Anolis sagrei: one gene and its partners. The main gene of each other region encodes a partner of the protein of the gene in region 2 in a complex. Links are inferred from orthologs where the notes say so. Each region holds a gene or a part of one and is shown on either strand. Other genes may lie near its edges.

What was found. The genes of interacting proteins can lie anywhere in the genome.
Region 1: STX4 (region 2) and BET1L share a complex: the UniProt entries of both Homo sapiens proteins name them as parts of the SNARE complex. The link is inferred for Anolis sagrei from reciprocal best matches to the Homo sapiens genes STX4 and BET1L.
Region 3: STX4 (region 2) and BNIP1 share a complex: the UniProt entries of both Homo sapiens proteins name them as parts of the SNARE complex. The link is inferred for Anolis sagrei from reciprocal best matches to the Homo sapiens genes STX4 and BNIP1.

What each region holds. Positions count from the first base shown.
Region 1 is NC_090021.1:237,756,794-237,764,169, forward strand, and holds the start of BET1L (BET1-like protein), read right to left. Parts: upstream 3,006-7,376; 5' UTR 2,921-3,005; coding exon 2,902-2,920; intron 1-2,901. UniProt on the Homo sapiens protein: Vesicle SNARE required for targeting and fusion of retrograde transport vesicles with the Golgi complex. Required for the integrity of the Golgi complex.
Region 2 is NC_090026.1:14,722,670-14,730,034, reverse strand, and holds the start of STX4 (syntaxin-4), read right to left. Parts: upstream 3,014-7,365; 5' UTR 2,911-3,013; coding exon 2,881-2,910; intron 1-2,880. UniProt on the Homo sapiens protein: Plasma membrane t-SNARE that mediates docking of transport vesicles. Necessary for the translocation of SLC2A4 from intracellular vesicles to the plasma membrane.
Region 3 is NC_090022.1:100,712,814-100,720,050, reverse strand, and holds the start of BNIP1 (vesicle transport protein SEC20), read left to right. Parts: upstream 1-4,232; 5' UTR 4,233-4,266; coding exon 4,267-4,350; intron 4,351-6,771; coding exon 6,772-6,864; intron 6,865-7,237. UniProt on the Homo sapiens protein: As part of a SNARE complex may be involved in endoplasmic reticulum membranes fusion and be required for the maintenance of endoplasmic reticulum organization. Also plays a role in apoptosis.

The DNA of each region.
Region 1 (7,376 bases), on a different chromosome or scaffold from region 2:
AAGCAAAGTGCCATACTTTGCAGTATTTTTACAGGAATAAGGAAATTCACAATAGATGAAGTCAAAGGACCACATGCAGCAGAAACCACCAGCAAGACCTGAGTACAACTCCATCTCACAAGCCCCAGCGATGGACACACGGCAACCCAAAGTAGCAGCCATTGATGGCTCCTCCCTCTTTGAATATATGGAAACCCTCTTTCAAGCCATTCCAGTAGCAGCCATGTCTACATCATGTTGCAGTGAGTTTCAAAGTTTAACTGTGAAACTCACTGCAACATGATGTAGACATGGCTGCTACTGCTAATGGATTCATGCTCTGTATAGACATGGTGCATGTGCTAATGGATTCTTGCTCTGTATTCACAGCCACAGAACACAGCATTTTCCCCAGTATGTGGAAAAATTCCCATTGCCGTCATAGAAAGTCATGCTGGTAGTTTACATGCATTTCAATAAAAACAGTGTCTCATATAACCATTTTATATTCTTTAATGCCACACTCTTTTTCTACTGCTGTCCAGCCAGGATCCATAATTGGAGAACTTTGCTTAACCCCATGTAACCACCATTATTACTATTACTATTATTATTGCTCTTCTTCTTCTTCTCCTCCTCCTCCTCCTCCTCCTCCTCCTCCTCCTCACCAATACCCCGCTTTATCTCTCCCAAAGGAGACTCAAAGTGGCTTACATTAAAAGTATGACCACATAATTTTAAATATAAAAATATGCAAATATTAAAACAGAATTAAATGTAACAGTATTAAAAAAAATCAGTTTCCACACATAACCACCCAAAATGAAAGCAGAACAAATGGAGAAACCAATAATGGAAATACAGGGTTGGAATATCCCTTATTCATAAATCCCCAAATCCAATCTCAGCACAATGGCTGAGAAAGTAACATCTTTGTTTTTTCTAAGGGTTCAATATGTCCAACCTGGTTTCACGCACAAAATTATTTTAAAAAAAATCTTTGTATATAAAACAACCTTGAGGCTATATATGCATGTATGAATCATAAATGAATGTTGTGGGTGTCACATCTCCATGATGTCTCATTACTGATAGGCAAGGATTTTAGAATCTGAAAAAATCCAAAACACAGCCATCCCAAACATTTTGGGGAAGGACAGAAGTCCACTGAAATAAGAAAGTAGCAAGACATTTGCTTTCTGATGGATCAGTATATACGAACTTTGCTGCATGCCTGAAATTCTTTAAAACTGTTTATGAAAGGACTCTTAGGCTATGTAAAGTTATTCTTAACTTGTAGCCTTCCTTTTGATTGTAAGGATAGGAATAAACAATAAATAAATAAGCCAGTGACTCAACAAATTAAGCAAAGTTTTTGAATACTGTTTATATTTAATCCTGTTTTAATGTTTGTATATTTGTAAATGTTTATGCTGATGCTTTTATATTGAGTTGCTTTGAGCTGCCTTCAAGGGAGATAAAGCAGGGTATAAACAAACATAACCACAATAATAATAATAATACTAATTGTATATTTGTAAAAGATTATGCTGATGCTTTTATGTCAAGCTGCTTTTAGTCACCTTTGGGGAGATAAAGTAATAATATATTATAAGTAACAAGTAATAATATAAGTAATATAAGTAATAATAGCAACAACAACAATACTTGTATATTTTAAATGGTTATGCTGATGTGTTAATGTCAAGCCACTTTTAGTTGCCTTCGGAGAGATAAAATGGGGTATAAATAAACATGATTTTTTTTTGTCGTGTCAGGAGCAAGTACCTTCTGTTGTGAGAGAATTGGCTGTCTGCAAGGATGTTGCCCAGGGGATGCCTGGATGATTTTGATGTTTTTATCATCCTTGTGGGAGGCTTCTCTCATGTCCCCGCATGAGGAGCTAGAGCTGACAGAGGGAGCTCATCCGCCTCTCCCCAGATTCGAACCTGCGACCTGTCGGTCTTCAGTCCTGCCGGCACGGGGAGGGGGGGTTTAACCCACTGCGCCACCGGGGGCTCCTTAATGATGATGATGATGATGATGATGATGATGATGATGATAATGTATCATAAATGAATGCAAAGACTCTGGCACAAGCCAGTAAAGGTGGTCCCAGTGGTGATCGGCACACTGGGTACAGTGCCTAAATACCTTGGCCTGCACTTAAAAACAGTCGGCGCCTACAATATTACCATTTGTCAGTTGCAATAGGCCACCCTACCTGGTTCTGCATACATTATTTCCTAATACATCACACAGATACTTGGGATGTGTCTGAAGTGTAATCAAATACAAAAGCCAGCACAGCGTTCTTGCTTGCTGTGCACTAATCTTTTTGTGTATCAAATAATAATGTATAATAACATATATACACATATATACAAATGAAGCAAATGAATGTCCTGTTTAGCTTTTGAGTCCTATCTCTAGGATACCTAATTTAATATAGGTGAATATGCCACAATCCAAAATACTTCTGGTCTCAAGAATTTCCGGCATGAATAATTCCTTTTCTTTTTATTCAGTGGGTCTACACTTGTGAACTAATGCAGTTTGAAACAGATTCAACTGCCATGACTCAATGCTATGGAGTTAAGATGGGCAATACTGTGCCTGACTCACTATTTCAGCTGTCAAAGGGCATTTCTGTGAAAGAAAACAAAGGAGACGTGGGGGGAGAACCATTTAAAGCAGGCCTGGGCCACCTTCGGCCCTACAGGCTGTTAGGAATGGTGGGAGTTGAAGCCCAAAACACCTGGAGGGCCCAAGTTTGCCCAGGCCTGCTTCAACGGGAAGGAGGGCCCTCTCCCCAAAACAAAGGGAAGGCTTAACTAGGGCAGAACGAAGGGCGCCCACTCTCCTCCTCCCTCCGAGGCCTACCGCCTCCCCTCAGACACCGCTCCCTCCCTCCCTTCCTACCTCGGCCCCAATCCGCCATGGCTGCCTCTTGCCTCCGTGTCCCATCCGGAGCCAAGGCGAGAGGCGGTGCCAAGGAGGGCAATCGATCTGCAAACGAACCAATCAGGGAAGAGGGCAAGGAGGCCGTGGGGCGGGGATTGGATAAGCGCCTCCCCCGAGAGCGGAAGAGTGCGGCTTAGACCGCCATTTTTCCAGAGGGCATGCTCCCTGAGTGGGAATGGGCCGCCATGTTTCTTGAGGGCAGGAACAGGAAGTGGCTGCCCTTTGGATTCTCCGCCTCGGGCATCCAAGAGCATTGGCCCCGCCCCTGTTTGTGACGTAGGTTGCTGCCTCTGTAAGGTTTACAGAATGATAGAGCTGGAAGGGAACCCTAGAGGCTATCCAGTCCAGCCCCATTCTTGGCAAATTAATTACAAAAAAAATAAACTATAAAAAGGGGGAACCAAGTTTCTTGGTTTCTCTTCTGTCCTTACACAAATCTGGTTTCTTCCCCCCCCCCCTCTAAATATCTTCTGTCCTGCCTGTCTTGGAGTGCATCTACCAGGCATGGGCCAACTTGGGCCCTCCAGGTGTTTTGGACTTCAACTCCCACAATTCCTAACAGTACCTAACAAAATCAGCACTGTAAATGAAGAACAACACTCAAAAACAGGGGAGTTTCTTGTCTGGAGACAAGAAACAATCAGGACCAGCTAATCACCTCCCAACAAAGGATTCCCCCAGGCAGTATGAAGCCAGACCTTGAAACAGCTAGGCCACTGAATACTAACCAAGGTAGTCCATTGAAACATTGAAACGTTTTTTCTCCCACTTTGGACATTCCACATAAACCCCATTTTCCTAGTTTCCTCTTGTCTGTTTGAGCCAAGTGTGAATGTTGCAATTGGCCAGCTCGATTAGCATCAAATAGCCTTGCAGTTTCAAAGCCTAGCTGCTTTGCCTCACGCAGACAAGAGTTCTTTCTCCCACCCTGGACATTCCACAGAAACCCCATTTTCCTAGTTTCCTCTTGTCCATTTGAGGCAAGTGTGAATGTTGCAATTGGCCAGCTTGATTAGCATCGAATAGCCTTGCAGCTTCAAAGCCTGGCTGCTTTGCCTCACACAAAGCAGACAAGAGTTCTTTCTCCCACCTTCCACCCTGGATATTCCACAGAAACCCCATTTTCCTAGTTTCCTCTTATCTGTTTGAGGCAAGGGTGAATGTTGCAATTGGCCATCTTCATTAGCATTGAATAGCCTTGTAGCTTCAAAGCCTAGCTGCTTTGCTTCACACATGCCTCAAGCAGACAAGAGTTCTTTCTCCCACTTTGGACATCCCACAGAAACCTCATTTTTCTAGTTTCCTCTTGTCTGTTTGAGGCAAGGGTGAATGTTGCAATTGGCCATCTTGATTAGCATCGAATAGTCTTGCAGCTTCAAAGCCTGGCTGCTTTGCCTCACACTTGCCCCAAGCAGACAAGAGTTCTTTCTCACACCTTGGACATACCACAGAAACTCAATTTTCCTAGTTTCCTCTTGTCCGTTTGAGGCAAGTGTGAGTGTTGCAATTGGCCAGCTTGTTTAGCATCAAATAGCCTTGCAGCTTCAAAGCCTGGCTGCTTTGCCTCACACTTGCCCCAAGCAGACAAGAGTTCTTTCTCCCACCTTGGACATTCCACAGAAACCCTATTTTCCTAGTTTCCTCTCGTTTTTTGATGCAAGTGTGAATGTTGCAATTGGCCAGCTTGATTAGCATCGAATAGCCTTGCAGCTTCAAAGCCTGGCTGCTTTGCCTCACGCAGACAAGAGTTCTTTCTCTCACTCTGGAGTATCCACAGATATATAAACCCCATTTTCCTAATTTCCAGCAGACCCCACAACCCTTGAGGATGCCTGCCATAGATGCAGAGGGAACGTCAGGAGAGAATGCTGCTGGAACATGGGTCCTACAGCCCGGAAAACTCACAGCAACCCAGACTTTAGCATCCTCTGCCAAAGAGTGCTGGTGTCCTCCGGCAACTGGCGCCCCCTCTTGGCTGCCTTTCCTTCCTTTTGGCTTCCCTTTCTTGTCCTGGGGGAAGGAAGGAAGGAGGAGGCAGCAGCAGGGAATGAGGCGAAGAGACTGACTTCCCACCACAAGCAGCTCGGCTGCAAAGGAAGGTACAAGCCGCCCTTCCCCTTCCTGGGGTTCCCTTGGGTTCCCCAATAAATGGGGTGGCTGGGCTTGCTGGGAGGAGGGTTGCATACTGATATGATCCCAATCACGATGATCATAATATGTCACTTTGTATCTTGGATTAAGGAAACCAGATTGGGAAATGTTTCCTAACCACTCCCCTTTTGTAAAGGTAGGTAGATATCTGGGCAAGACTGGAATCCAATGGGTTTTTGGAGGATGTAAACAAGGCTTGGCTAAATGAAACCTTGGATGCGCGTACACTTTAGAAGAAATCCAGCTTGACACCACCTTAAATGCCATCACTCAATGCTCTGGAACATGAGAGTTGTAGTTTGATGAGGCACCAGCACTCCCAGGCAGAGGAAGCCTTATAAAACTACAGCTAAAGTGGTGTCAAACTGCATTATTTCTACGGTGTAGATGTTATGGATGGCGTGATTTTAATGCTGAATGTAATTTTTTAAATTTTTAAATTATGTATTCATTTTAATTCAGTGGATTTTAAGCTTAATGTTTGTATGTCTCCTATGCTATGCTAATAATGTAATATAATGTAACATATTGTATATACATATAATATTTATAATATTATAATGTAATGCAATATAATACTACTATTAATAATATGATATTATAATTATATATTTATATTACATGTAACATTACTAATAATATTACAATATAATGGTATAGTACAATATAGTAATATTTTAATATTGTATATACATATAATATTTATAATATTATAATGTATTGCAATATAATACTAATAATAATATATTATAATTATATATTTATATTACATGTAATATTACTAATCATATTACAGTATAATGGTATAGTACAATAAAGTAATATTTAATATTGATATTGTACTTTGCTAATAATACAATATATTTTATGTATATATATCTTGTAAGTGGCTCTGAGTCCCCTTTGCAAATAAATAAATAATATGTGTTTAAAGCATTGAATAATTACCATATGTTGGCTGCCTTCAATCCCCCTTGGGGTAGAGAAAGATGATATAAATAGGGTAAATAATTAAATACATTATTGATTCTTGTGAATTCTTTGTGATGCCAGAGTTATATTTTCATATTAGATATAATTTAAATTAATTTTAAGTGAGTTGTTTGTTTAATTTGATATGTGGTTGTAAACTTGATTTATGTGCATTTTAAAGTGATATACATTCACTTTTTTGGGATTTGGGCGGTTTGTTAATGCATTTGTATTTGTTATTCTTATTGTATAGGCATTAAATGTTTTGTTTTCCTTCTGTTGTTGGAATCTGCCCTGAGTTCTCTAGGAATACAAATAAAGCTATTATTGTTGTTGTTGTTGTTGTTGTTGTTGTTGTATTGTTGAAGGCTTTCATGGCTGGAATCACTGGGTTGTTGTAGGTTTTTCAGCTGTATGGCCATGTTTTAGAAGCATTCCCTCCTGACGTTTTGCCTGCATCTGTGGCAAGCATCCTTAACCTCACAGCCCAAAAAACCTACAACAGCCCATTATTATTATTATTATTATTATTATTATTATTATTATTGTCATCCCAGGTCTGATTCCAGACCTACATTTTTGTTCATAACAAGTCCAGGCTTGACTTGTGTAAAATATTAAATAATTTCTGAATATCTGTTTCTGCTAGTGCACTCAACAATGTTTATATTGACCCCTATAGGGGAAATACACCTGCTGAGTTGCATCTCTTACCTGAAATTCTGAAATACTCCAAATTTGAAAATAGATGGCCAAGAGACTGGCATCTCTGCTTTTTGGTAGTTCAATGCACACAGACTTCAAACAGATTTAAAATATGTGTGACATTATCTTCAAGCTATGTTTATAAGGCAGGCATGGGCAATCTTCAGCCCTTCAGGTGTTTTGGATTTCAATTCCTACAATTCCTAGCAGCTGGTAGGCTGTTAGGAATTGTGGGAGTTGAAGTCCAAAATACCTGGAGTGCTGGAGTTGGCCCATGCCTGCTATAAAGTATAAATGAATTAGGTGTTTAGATTTTGGGCCCATCTTAATATATGTCTTAATCAAATGTATATGCAAATATCCCAAAATCTGGGGGGGGGGGGGGGGGATCCAAAACACTGTAGCCTCAGACATTTTGGATAAGGGAAGCTCAGTCTATTACCAAATTACAGAATATGTACCAATTTATGCAAAAGTGTTGATCATAGAATCATAGAATGATTGAGTTGGAAGAGACCTCGTGGGCCATCTAGACCAACCCCCTGCCAAGTAGCAGGAAAATCACATTCAAAGCATCTCAACAGATGACCCATTCTTCTTGAAAG
Region 2 (7,365 bases):
AAATTTGGTGTCAATTCGCCCAGTGTTTTTTGAGTTATGTTAATCCCACAAACTACCATTACATTTTTATTTTTTATAGATTAATTAATAATACAAATTTGGTGTCAATTCGCCCAGTGTTTTTTGAGTTATGTTAATCCCACAAACTACCATTACATTTTTATTTTTATAGATCAATTAATAATACAAATTTGGTGTCAATTTGCCCGGTGTTTTTTGAGTTATGTTAATCCCACAAACTACATTACATTTTTATATTTTATAGATTAATTAATTAATAATACAAATTTGGTGTCAATCCGCCCAGTGTTTTTTTGAGTTATGTTAATCCCACAAACTACCATTACATTTTTATTTTTATAGATTAATTAATTATACAAATTTGGTGTCAATCCGCCCAGTGTTTTTTGAGTAATGTTAATCCCACAAACTACATTACATTTTTAATATATTAATTAATTAATACAAATTTGGTGTCAAAATTTGGTGTCAATCCACCCTGTGTTGTTTGAGTTATGTTAACCCCACAAACTAACATGACATTATTTATATAGATTCACAACCACCTCCTTTCCTTCCATTTTTGTGGCTACATTTCATGAGGAGAGACTTCAACTCAAGACTAAATATAGATCATTTACATCTATATATATAAATTTGTTAGGGGCATCCAACGGAGAAACAAAACTCAAAAAACCCCCAACGAAACTTAACCAAAATTCCCATGCCCATAACACAACCCACAAGGTACAAACATATCTACTCAAAATGAAAAACAACACAACAACACACTCACAAAACGGCAAAACAACAAAACTCAAAAATCCCCCAACGAAACTTAACCAAAATTCCCGTGCCCATAACACAACCCACAAGGTACAAACATATCTACTCAAAATGAAAAACAAAACAACAACACACTCACAAAACGGCAAAAGAACGAAACTCAAAAAACCCCCAACAAAACTTAACCAAAATTCCCATGCCCATAACACAACCCACAAGGTACAAACATACCTACTCAAAATGAAAAACAAGACAACAACACACTCACAAAACGGCAAAACAACAAAACTCAAAATTCCCCCAACGAAACTTAACCAAAATTCCCATGCCCATAACACAACCCACAAGGTACAAACATATCTACTCAAAATGAAAAACAACACAACAACACACTCACAAAACGGCAAAAGAATAAAACTCAAAAAAACCCCAACGAAACTTAACCAAAATTCCCATGCTCATAACACAACCCACAAGGTACAAACATATCTACTCAAAATGAAAAACAACACAACAACACACTCACAAAACGGCAAAACAACTGAGCATGCACATTGGCGCCCAGCCGCAAGTTCCCTGGCGCGTGCACATGGCCTTCCGGCCAACGTTCCCTCTGCCCACTCCAAGCCCCGCCGCGCCGCTTCCCGCACACACACACCCCCTGCCGCACACACACACACAACCCCACACTCCATCACTCCCCCCGCCGCCGCACACACACACGCAACCCCACTCCCCCCGCCGCCGCACACACACGCGCAACCCCACACTCCATCACTCCCCCCGCTGCCGCACGCACACACGCAACCCCACTCCCCCCGCCACCGCACACACACACGCAACCCCACGCTCCATCACTCCCCCCGCCGCCGCACGCACACACGCAACCCCACTTCCCCCGCCGCCGCACACACACACGCAACCCCACGCTCCATCACTCCCCCAGCCGCCACACACACACACGCAACCCCATGCTCCATCACTCCCCCGCCCCAATCTTACCTCCTTTTACTTCACACCACCTCCAAACCCCACCCCGCCCCTTCCTGCCCTGTCAAAATCTAGGAAAGACAGGAAGGAAGGAAAGAAGGAAGAAAGAGAAAGGGAGGTAAAGAAAAAGGGGGAAGGAAGGAAAGTTAGAGAAAGAAGGAAGAAGAAAAGGAAAGAAAAGGAAAGATGGAAGGAAAGAAAAGAGAGACAGCAGAAAAGAAAGAAACGGGGAAGGAAGGAAAGAGATAGAGAAAGAAGAGGAGAAGGAAAGATGGGAGGGAAGGAAGGAAGGAGGGAAAGAAGGAGAGAAAGAGGGAAGATTGGCCACATTTCTATTATTATTATTACTATTATTATTATTATTATTATTATTATGCTATTGTTCCTATGAGACCCTAGGGGAATGGGAGAGGTGTCAGGTCCCAGAGGCAATGCATTGCATTATTGTTATTGTTATGATGGTGGTAAAATAAAAGGAAATAAAAAGTGAAAGAAGGAAGCAAATAGGGAGGGAAGAAAGGCAAAGGAAGAAAGGGGGAGGGAATGAAGGAAAGAGAAGGATGAAACCAAGTAGTGAAAGAAAGAAAGAGGTAGAGAAGGAAGAAAGGAGAGAAAGGGGGAGGAAAAGGGGGAAGGAATAGGTAGGGACCTCTCTTTCATAATAGTCCAGATATCTACCTCAACTTTGATAAGTTTTACTATAGGCCACAGCAACGCGTGGCAGGGCACAGCTAGTTTATTATATTTAGGTTACTTTAGGGGTTACAACTTTGTTAGGCACTAAAAAAAAAGAAAGGGGAAGCCCAGGAAAGCAACACTATTGTCATGGGAGGATGAAAAAGAGGCAGAAATAAGGGCCAAAAAAAGATGGAGGAAAACAGAACACCCCCTCCTCCCAACGGAGGGAGTGTGACAGGAACAGCCAACGAAGCAGAAATATACGGAGGGGGAAGGGGGGGATGAACGGAAGAGCGGAGTCCCCTCGCGCCACCAAGAGAGGCGGGGCCTCAGCGACCGTTGTGGGCGTGGCCAGGCGCGCGGGGGAGAAAGAGGGCGCGCGTGCGGATTGCGGGGGGGAGGGGGAGGGGGTGATGTGCTCCTTACCTCTCTGAGCTCGTGCGTTCGGTCCCTCATCTTCTTTTTTTTTTTTTCTCACAACTCTGTGAGGAAGCGGAGTGAAGGGGGAGGGGTTGGAACTAGAAGGGAGAGCACAAGGCTGCGCATGCGCGCGCTCTGTTCTCAAATCTGTTTGGCGCTCCTCGCTCCGCCCTCCTCCCGGAGCTATAGACAGGACATCTCCGTAGTGCGCATGCGCTGTGCCATTTTCGCCTCTGGAGAAGCCAGTTCCTCTTTTTCCTCACAGTCGACGGGAAGATGAGGTGCGGCCCGGAGGCGTTAAAAGACTCCAAAGCCGTGTGTTTATGCTATTACGGAAACGATCCTCAATCAATTTTCCCCCCCACCTTTCACATTAAGAAGTTGCTTCAATGGAGTAATTATTTTAGGGTTTAAAAACAGGAAGTGACGTCAGGCGTATACATTGAAAGCTCATCTGCAATATGTCCGCTGCCGGATGTTGTCACTCCACCGGATGTCTTTTTTTTAATTCATCGGTAATGAGTGCCATAGGACAGGCATAGAGCAAACTTGGGCCCTCCAAGTCCTTTGAACTTATAGAATCAAAGAGTTGGAAGAGACCTCATGGGCCATCCAGTCCAACCCCCTGCCAAGAAGCAGGAATATTGCATTCAAATCACCCCTGACAGATGACCATCCAGCCTCTGTTTAAAAGCTTCCAAAGAAGGAGCCTCCACCACACTCCGGGGCAGAGAGTTCCACTGCTGAACGGCTCTCACACTCAGGAAGTTCTTCCTCGTGTTCAGATGGAATCTCCTCTCTTGTAGTTTGAAGCCATTGTTCCACGTCCTAGTCTCCAGGGAAGCAGAAAACAAGCTTGCTCCCTCCTCCCTGTGGCTTCCTCTCACATATTTATACATGGCTATCATATCTCCCAGTCACTTGAAGTGACTGGACTGACCTTGAAGGAGCTGGGGGTGGTGACGGCCGACAGGGAGCTCTGGCGTGGACTGGTCCATGAGGTCACGAGTCGGAGACGACTGAACAAATGAACAACAACAACAACATCATATCTCCTCTCAGCCTTCTCTTCTTCAGGCTAAACATGCCCAGCTCCTTAAGCCGCTCCTCATAGGGCTTGTTCTCCAGACCCTTGATCATTTTAGTCGCCCTCCTCTGGACACATTCCAGCTTGTCAATATCTCTCTTGAATTGTGGTGCCCAGAATTGGACACAATATTCCAGGTGTGGTCTAACCAAAGCAGAATAGAGGGGTAGCATTACTTCCCTGGACCTAGACACTATGCTCCTATTAATGCAGGCCAAAATCCCATTGGGTTTTTTTGCCCCCACATCACATTGTTGGCTCATGTTTAACTTGTTGTCCACGAGGACTCCAAGATCTTTTTCACACGTATTGCTCTCAAGCCAGGCATCCCCCATTTCGTTTTTCCTGCCAAAGTGGAGTATCTTGCATTTGTCACTGTTGAACTGTTGAACTTCCACAATTCCTAACATGAAGAGTGAAGGGGGGGGGGGGGGCAGGGGTCAGTTCCACCTTGTCTCCTGTTCTATGCTTATGTAATATAATATATTGTATATAATTGTATATAATATATTGTATATAATGTAATATAATGTAATATAATAATACAATATATAATATATTGTATATACAAGGTGAGGCAGCATAACTTCCTTTTTTCAATCCTCCAAGGTTGAGGGGTGTGCTGTCGCATGCTGGGCCTGTGCATAAGACTGTAGACAGGACATAAATTCCGTGTGCCCAACGGGACGCCGGGGCTGCCTCAGATTAAAGGCCCTTGGATTCCCCCAAACAGAGTCTTTAGATTGCTTAAAGGTTCAACAATGTTCTTTATTAATGAAAACAAACAGGTATTTCAAGGCTTTCTTAACAGTCTATTGGCTCTTTCAATCTTGTCCACAGGGAATAGGCACTATCTTCATGACGTATTTTATCTAATGGGGAAATCCTTAACTTCTAATCTGGGCAGTGTTTCTTTGCCTCTGTTGGCGTGGAGCCCTTACACCTGGTACCAACTGCGTCTGGCTTCCGCGAGTGACCCTTACCAAGAAGAGCTTTGTAGACTTCCAGGGAAAAAGGAGTTCAGGTTTCAGTTATGGCTGGCTGAAGTCCTTCAGCAAAGGAGCTGTAAGGCTGTAAAATCCTCAGCCAAGCTGTGAGGCCTTTTCTCCCCGGCCAAGCTGTAGGCTGTATATCTCCCCGGCCAAGACGTAAAGCTGTATATCTCCCAGCCAAGCTGTAGAAGACGAAGCTTTCTACAGGAGCTCTTGGTATTCTGTCCTGTGAAAGGCTTCTCTGTGTGGACTGAACCAAAAAGGCTCCTATTCCCTCCAAAACCCCAAAAAGGGGGCGGGACCAGGGAACCTAACTATAATTGACAGGTGGCTTGCCCTATGATTGCAGCCAAAAGAAGCCACCTATCTGCAGAGTCCCTGAAACTTGGGACTATAACAAAGCAAACAAAATTGGAGCTCTTGGAACAGCTGTTCCAGAACAATTCCTAACATAAAGAGTGAAGAGAGGGGGGCCAGGGGACAGTTCCACCTTATCTCCTGTGCTATGCTTATAATATAATGTCATATAATGTATTGTAGATACAAGGTGAGGCAGCATAATTTCCTTTTTTCAATCCTCCGAGGTTGAGGGGTCTGTTGGATACTAGGAAAGTGAGGTTAATATGTAATGCAATATAATACTACTACTACTACTACTAATAATAATAATATGGCATTATAATTATATATTTATATTTCATGGAATACAGGGTGCAGCAGCATAACTTTCTTTTTTAAAACTTAATAAAACTCATTGTATGAATCAGAATTTTTTAAATAATAATTTTTATTGAATTTTTTATATAATAACAGAATTTGAATCAGAATTTTTTTTCATAATGTAGGCGCATACCTAAAGTTTTGTTTCACGTAGTTTTGAAAATCAAATTAGGTAGGTGACGTCCCCCATTCTCCATACACTGAGTAAACCGATTTCTGGCGTTTGTCATTACTCTTGCCAGCGTAGCAGGAGTTACGTTGGCAATTTCTTCCTGGATGTTGGTCTTGAAATATTGTAGGGTCCTTGGACGGTTCACATAAACACGGGATTTCAAAAAAACCCATAGAAAAAAATCACAAGGGGCCAAATCTGGAGAGCAGGCCAGCCACTCCAAATCCGCTCGAAAAGTAGGCCTCAACGGCAAAATCACGCTCCTCACTGTTCCAATGCATGATGGCGAATGAATTGTGTCAGGACAAAACTTTATACCCGCCCAGGGCCGTACCCAGAAAATTTCAGGGGGGGGGGGGGGGTTGAAACCTGCCTCCTAGCTCACGCTGAAGCAAAGAGCACAGCAGGGGCAGAGCAGCTTTCAATAGCCTGCAGCTCTGCCCCTGTCAACCACCTCCACCAAGTCTGGCCTCCTTAATGAGAGCATTCAACACCCCCCCCCCCCAACTTGGTTGCTGCGCTACATCAGCTAATGACAGTGTGAATAAATTGTCGATATTTGTTTGAGATAGTGCTTGCAGTTCTGGAGGGACTCTTAATTTTTTGCGTCTCATAGACTTAGCATGGGGATTTGGTTAACCAGTTAAAATTAATGAGTAAACCAAGTTTTTTTTTACCTGAAAATTTTTTGGGGGGGGGGGTTAGGGGTTCAGGCTTGCTCCCGCCTCTCGCTCCGCTACATTTTTAACTGCATTTTAAAAAAGGAAGTTATGCTGCCTCACCCTGTATATATATTTATAATATTGTAATGTAATACAATATAGTACTAATAATCATATACAGGGTTAGTCAAAATGCATAGGCCAATAAGCCATTCAATTGAATGGCTTATTGGCCTATGCATTTTGACTAACCCTGTATTATAATTATATATTTTATATTACATGTAATATTACTAATATTACAATATAATGGTATAGTACAATAGTATATAGTAATATATAATACTGATATTGTACTATGCTAATAATATAATATATTGTATGTATATATATCTTGTTAGCTGCTCTGAGTCCCCTTCGGGGTGAGAAGGGCGGCATATAAATGTCGTAAATAAATAAATAAAAAATAGCAGCCTCAGGCGCCTTCCTTTTCCTGCAGCTGCAGCTGACGGGCAAAAGGAAGGGGCCTGAGGCTGCTAGAAATTGTGGGAGTTGAAGTTCAAAACACCGGGAGGGCCCAAGGGTAATAGTATGATAGCTGGTTGCGGAAGCTCCGAGTGTTATGGAGATGCTGCATCGCAACATAGACTAAGCTAATGTAAGCCAGGCCGGAGACAGATAATATAGAAGGATTCTAAGAGTTCTTTAACGGTGAAACCCTAATCCTTACCCCAACCCTGAACCGCACCGTAAACCTAACCCCTTGTTGTTCATTCGTTCAGTCATCTCCGACTCCTCGTGACCTCATGGACCAGCCCACGCCAGAGCTCCCCTTACCCTAACCCAAACCCTAAACTT
Region 3 (7,237 bases), on a different chromosome or scaffold from region 2:
ACTGATATATTGTTTCTCTTATGTAAGTCTTTTAAATATAGCTAGTTTTAAAATGGTAATAGCCTCCTATCTGTTTTTGATGGGTTTTCTTACAAGTTGCCTTCAGCAGAATAGCATAGCCAGTCTGTTCCTTGACTTATTTTAGCAGTCTTCCTGGAATTCTAGGTTGAGGCACAGTCAAAGTACATAATAACAGAAGTTCAGGCCTTCAGGCCTGAATTTTACTCATGTCTAATCATTATTTCTTTTTTTGAAAGTAAGGTTCTAGTTATGGAATCATCTAGTTTAATCTGCTACCAGTGGAAGCCTACATTTTGGTGTAGCTGACTCTTGCACATGTGTGCAGGGTGTGTTTATTTGTTTGTTTGCTTCTATTTTGTTTTCCCTAAGGGATTGTGCAAAACACATTTCAATCAAGAATTAATCTGAAAGCTGATTCCTTTAAAAATGCATTTCAGGGCATTATCACATTGAGAGAACAATACTTAGGGATATTTCCAGTGCAAATGGAATGATTTGTCTACATTGCAGAAATGGCACTTTAGCATATACTTCCTTCACAGAATTCTAAACTTCATTGAATCTCATCAATAATTATGTTCTTGTTATCTCCATTTTCCCCAATTGGGTTTCATATAGTAAATGGGTGTTCATGCAACCTTTAGGTTTTCACAAACTTCCACAAGGGCATTCTGATTTTTTCCTCCAATCCCTAAACACACTTTTTAAAAAGCAATCCAATTTGATCTGGATGGGTCTTACTTCCATGCTAAATGTATCCAGGGTTGTAGCCTCAGTACCTTTAGAAAAGCAGTAAGTAAAAACTCGACTTCAGTAGTCATTGTCTTCAGGAGCTAATCAGATACTTTTGGTAGTAAGTCAGTAATTGATATTCCCTGTTTATTGCAGTGTCTTAACATGCTTCTGAACACGGAGGATTTTGTTAACTGCTCCAGTTAATAGCCATTGCTATCAGCGCCTATATATGTACATCTCCTAGAGTCAATGGACCTATTCTAATTAGGAGTAGCCATTGGATTTAGACTTTTAGGTTTGAATTTTAAACATATTCTTAAGCACCACATACATGCAGTAACTTGAATAAATTAGGTTTGCCTATATATTATTTAAAGATTAAAATGCATAGACAAAGCTGTGTTCATTTGGAATATATGTATGCAAAGGGATTTTGAAGCACTTTAGAGACTGTGAGAATGATGTTGGTAGCATAAGCCCTTGTACAGAAAATCTTGCATCTGAAAAAGTAGCTTAGTCTGTGGAAGCTCAGGTTAACAAATTCATTCTCAGTTATTCTGTAGGGTGCTTCAAGATTCTTTTGCATAATAAAGAATTAAAGAGCAGCTGAAGTTAAGTCTTACTTTAACAAGTTAGTATGCAAGCATGCAAGTCAGGATCCCACTCATATAAGCATGAGTATTAGCCACTCACATAAAAATAAAAATTAAGTAAAGGATGACCCCGGTATCCACAGAGGATTTGTTCCAAGACCCCATGGATGCCTGACACTGGATAACTACAAACCCTATATTTTGACTATACTCAGGCTGGTAGCGTACCATGGAACCACACTGGAATATCTAGAGAGGCCCACAAACATTTCTGGGGATGGGAGTCATGTTTTTGAAGTGTGGGTAAGTGACTTTTAAATCCATGGATAAGAGGGTTGTAAGGGAATCAAGGTAGTTTTAACTAAATATGAAAGCAGCTTAGTTCCCTCTGAGAAATGAAGAACAAAGTAATGTCTAGTCATTGTTTTTGGAATCTATTCCACACATTTGAATTTTCAACATCTTGCCCTGCTTTATACAGATTGAATATGCATTTTGATATATTTGTATTTTCAAAGTGAACTATGGCTACAATCCTAAGTATACTTATCTGGAAGTGGGGCCCACTAAATGTTATATGCTTCAAAATGAGGGTTTTAGGGTTGGGATGTAAGGCTGATGGCACTTACAAAACACAGCAACATTTTAAAAGGCAAAGAAAAACACCAATATTAACAGCTTATATGCTTGGGATCATGTTTGTAATGCTGTTAACATTCTGTAGTCCATTTCCAACTGGAGCTCAGAAAATGTATTGAAGATCTTGTCTTGTTTAGAAAAAAAATCTTGTTTAAAAGCATGATCTGTTTGCAACTTTTATAATGTTTAATGTTGTGTAATTTTCCCTTTTTTTTAAAAAAAAAAAAGGCACAATTCAAAAATTTATTTGTTTACTCTGTCACCATTGAGCCCAAGCATTTCTATTCAGATACAAACTCATCAATGTATGCAACATCCTTTGTAATTGAAAATAAATTGTGAAGAGAAGTTCTGACATTATGGTGACTTTCGTGTGTTTTATGTCTGAAATACTTAGATCTTAAGTTGTAAAGTAAATGCGTTTGTTACAAAACATATACAGTATATAGAAGCAACCGAAGTGTCAGCCCTGATTATTAAAATCCACCATTCTTTCATTAAGAAATATAGACCAAAAATAAATAAATGACTGAGATAATGGAATAGAAGGCATGCTTACCAAATGACACCAAATTGAGAGGGATCTCTAATATCCCAGCGGACAGGATCAGAATCCAAAATGACCTAGACAGATTAGAGAGCTGGGCCAAAACTAACAAAATGGATTTCAACAGGGAGAAATGTAAGGGAATACGTACATTTAGACAGAAACAATGAAATGCACAGATATAGGATGGGTGACACTTGCCTTGATAAAAGTTCGCCTGAAAGTAATTTAGAAGTTAGTAAACCATAAGCTAAATATGCAGCAGCTAAAAAGGCCAATGTAATTCTATGTTACATCAATAAGAGTATAGTGTAAAATTCCAAGGAAGTCAAAGTCCCACTCTATTCTACTTTACCCAGACCTCGCCTGGAGTCCTGTGTCCAGCTCTGGGCACCACAATTTAAGAGAGATATTGACAAGCTGGGATATGTCCTGAGGAGAGCCAAACTGATCCAAGGTCTGAAAGCCTAGCCCTATGAATAGTGGCTTGAGCAGTTAGATACGTTTAAGATTGAGATGACAGCCACGTACAAATATTTGAAAAGATGTCATATTGAAGAGGAAGAAGTCTTGTTTTCTACTATTTCGGAAAAGATATGGAAAAACAATCACACTGCAGGAAAAGAGATTCCACTTAAACATTAGGGAAATTTTCCTAAAAGTAAAAGCTGTTTGACAGGGGAAATTCCTTTTTTGGGGCTTTTTAGACAGAGACTGAACAGTCATCTGTTAGGAGTGTTCTGAGTATAATTCATGGACTCCATGGTCCTTGGGGTCTCTTCCAACTCTAGTTCCATGCAATGTTACCAACCTAAGTCTGTGCTGACTAAAGTTTTAGTATTTTGACACCTATATGGATCTATCTGTAGATTATGTGGCGTAATGAAAATCACGTTTTACCAGTCCACACGCTGACTTGCCAGAGAAAGAAAAATATGTCATTCAGATGATCAGTGAAGAACAAGGAGTTTACTCTTTGTAATGCAGAGCAACATATATACAGTCATGTGAACAGTTGCATTGACTCTCACAATGTCCTTTTAGAGAAATTAAAATGGTTTTTCGCTGTCCAAATGGAAAAACATCTTCCAGCAGTTCATGAAGCAAGAACTGTCTCTCTATCTGGGCAAGCTCTTGCACAGCTCAAGCCTTAAAATGTAACTGTTGCCAAAACTCTCAGGCTCAGCTAGCTCCCCCAACCAGTCAGCTTGGTGTTTTGCATTTTCACAAACACCAACGGATTTTTTTTTACATGCCCCAACAGATTACAACTTAAACCTGTAAGGCAAGGAGGGGGAAGTCTATATACATTTTGAAATTCTTGAATAAATATTACTTGGATCACCAGCTGAGAATCCCTCTGTAGCAAAGTAACAGAGCAAAAGGTTTTAATTCAAACTCTGAATTAAGCCAACAGAAATGCAGCCATAAGAACAAGAATATAATATATTCATCCACCCTCTCCTACCCTTGTTTCAGCTGGAAAAAGACTAAACATCAGATAAAGAACCACATCCCAACAGGATGTGACACTGTTGACATGCAAAACATCAAGAGAGATTGAGCCTTAGGAGTGGCCTCTCCCCCTGTCAATCACGCAGCTTTGGAGAGCCCGCCTCCTCCTCCTCCTCCTCCTCCTCCTCCTCCTGGCGCCGCCTTCAGGGCGGAGCAGAGAAAGCGCGCTTCGAAACGCCCCCGCGCCCCCTTTCGCTCGCCGTAGTTCGTTCCAAGATGGCGGCTGCCGCTGACGTGCCGGTCCGCGTCTGCAACCAGGAGATTGTCAAATTCGACCTGGAGATTAAAGCGGCGGTGCAGGTAAAGCCTTTCCCCACCTCTCACGGACCGAGGGCGTTTCGTACCTGTGCCTGTTATTCCTCGGAAGAGCTCTGATCAGGGCACTTCTCCTGACAGCCCTTTCCCTTGAAGGAAATGACGCCTGTTGTATGTTCTGCCTCTCCCTTTCCTTAAGCGGTCCCTCATAGCTCGAGGATGATGGCCCTCCAAGTGAAATGTCTTGGCGGTGGGGCCCTAAGTGGCTGTGGAGCCCTGTTCTTGATCCACATATTCTACCACAGGTTTTGGGGGGGGGAGGGATTCGTGTCAGGAGCGACTTGAGAAACTGCAAGTTACTTCTGGCGTGAGAGAATTGGCCGTCTGCAAGGACGTTGCCCAGAGGATGCCCGGGTGTTTTGATGTTTTGCCATCCTTGTGGGAGGCTTCCCTCATGTCCCCGCATAGGGAGCTGAAGCTGAGAGAGGGAGCTCATCTGCGCTTTCCCCAGATTTGAACCTCCGACCTGTAGGTCATCAGTCATGTGGGCACAAGTTTTTAACCCACTGCGCCACTGCGGGCTCCTTCTCCCAGTGAAGACATTGGTTTCCAAGTGGTTTCCGCAGTGAGGACATTGGTTTCCAAGGCCTCTCCAAGCCCTTTCAGACGTCTGTCATGCCATGTTGCTGTTGTTGTTGTTGTTGCTGCTGTACTCATTAGTACTCCTTTTTCTCTCAGGATGGAGAACAGCGCACAGCCCTACAATTCTACTCACAGAAACCACTTTTTTGAGGAAAGTTTTTAGAACCATATTGATCATAATTTCCAAGAATGGTTTTCCTCCCCAAAAAGCGCCAGCCAGCATTATAACGAATGTTTTTATTTGTTATTAACTAAGCGATTTAGAAGCCTTCAAAATGGAAATATTAAAATAGAATTAAGTGTTACCGTTATTAAACTATTAAGTTAAAGTCTCATTCAAGCTTATTAACAAAGTATTAAAAACAATTCAGACACTATACTCTTTATTATTATTTGAGATTTGTTGGCAAAGGGGGTTGCCCTTGCCTTCCTCTGAGGCTTAGAGAGTGTGAATGGCCCAGAGTTGCTCAGTGGGCTTCCACAGCCTAGTGGGGATTCGAACCCTGGTCTCCAGAGGTCAAGCCAATCCTCAAACCTCTGTCAGGAGGGCTTTGGCCTATTCCCCTGCAGAAGGTCCATCCTGTGGCTCTGATGGTAAGAGGCCTCCGCACAGATAACTAAAGACAGGGCAGTCAGTGATAGGATTCCAGTTCTCCACTTTTTGTGCAGTTATGGTTCTTGCTCACGATTCTTCTCATTGATCAAGGGTCTGGAGAACAAGTCTGTAAGGAGAGGTTTAAAGAGCTCGGCATGTTTAGATTGCTGAAGAGAAGGCTGAGAGGAGATGTAGAAATATGTGAGAGGAAGTCATAGGGAGGAGGGAGCAAGCTTGTTTTCTGCTGCCCTGGAGACTAGGACGCAGAGCAATGGTTTAAAACTACAGGGAAGGGGATTACACCTGAACATTAGGAAGAACTTCCTAACTGTGAAAGCTGTTCAAGAGTGGAACTCTATGCCCCAGAGTGTGGTGGAAACTCTTTCATTGGAGGCTTTTAAACAGAGGCAGGATAGCCATCTGTCAGGAGGGCGTTGAATGTGATTTTCCTGCTTCTTGGCAGGGGATTGGACTAGAAGGCCCATGAGGTCTCTCTCTATAATTCATTCATTTCCATGGCTAGCAAACAAGCACACAAGGTTGCCATTGTGGCTTTGTAGTGTAGGAATTGGACTAGTCTTAGTCTTAATGGCGCTGAATCAATTAAATCTAGTTCACATACTACTAATCATAGTTCGTTATTCTTCTAGTAAAATACAGCAATTTACTTTGTGTTTCTGTGAAAGGGGTTTCTTAACATTTGGGACTAGTTTTCACAAAGTCTGTGGATCTGATTACACTTTGCAATTGATTTGAGGTTGCTAACTTTAAAAATATAAATAAATAGTTTATATTTGTTATTTAGTTAACTCATTACTTTTTAAATGTCCCACTGGTTTAGTGCCTCTTTTCCCTGAGATGCCTGTAGCATTTTAAATGCAAGTATATTGGAACTGGCATGATTGAGTGATTGTGCATACCTTGCCACTTCTCAGTTAATTCTACATTATGTCTGGGGTTCTATTATCAACAGTGTTCACCATCATGCCTAATTCATGATGGTGGTTCAGCCAGAAGACTGAGGACCCTTCCACACAACCCTATATTCTAGAATATCTGCTTCAAACTGGGTTATCTAAGTCCACACCTAGATAATGTGGCATTCAGCAATGTCTGAGTGCTTAGCCACAGTGTATAACATTACATTGCTCGTAAAGCATCATTACATTACATAACAATATGATAGAAGCAAGTGACTATATGATTTTTCTTTGACTTGTTTATTTTAGGATATCCGAGATTGCATGGGGCCTATAAGTACACTTACGGAACTCAATGCCAAAGTGAAGGAAAAATTTCACCATTTACGACTTAGAATCCAGGTGAGGAATGGTGACAAACCATGGGGAAATGTGTAAATAAGGCTTGTAGGCTCATTGTAGTTTTTACCAGCCTACTGGAGGCTGGCAAAGGAGGACGAAATGTCTAGCACTCCTGCAGCAGCTTTCTGCATTTTTATGCTGGGCATGGAGGAGGTGCTTTTCATGGGGATCTCCTAAACTTGCTCATATTTAGAAATAACACCATAGTATGCAGTTGTTTTATATAGTGGCATAGTTGTCTGGGCTCTAGATCCTTTTAGCTTGCTAAAGATAGCTGGTTCACCAAAGAAAGGAGCCCAAGCTACACTAATAATTTAAGCTTCTAGGATTCTACCATTTGAAAAGATGAATTATATGGAATACATACTCCTAA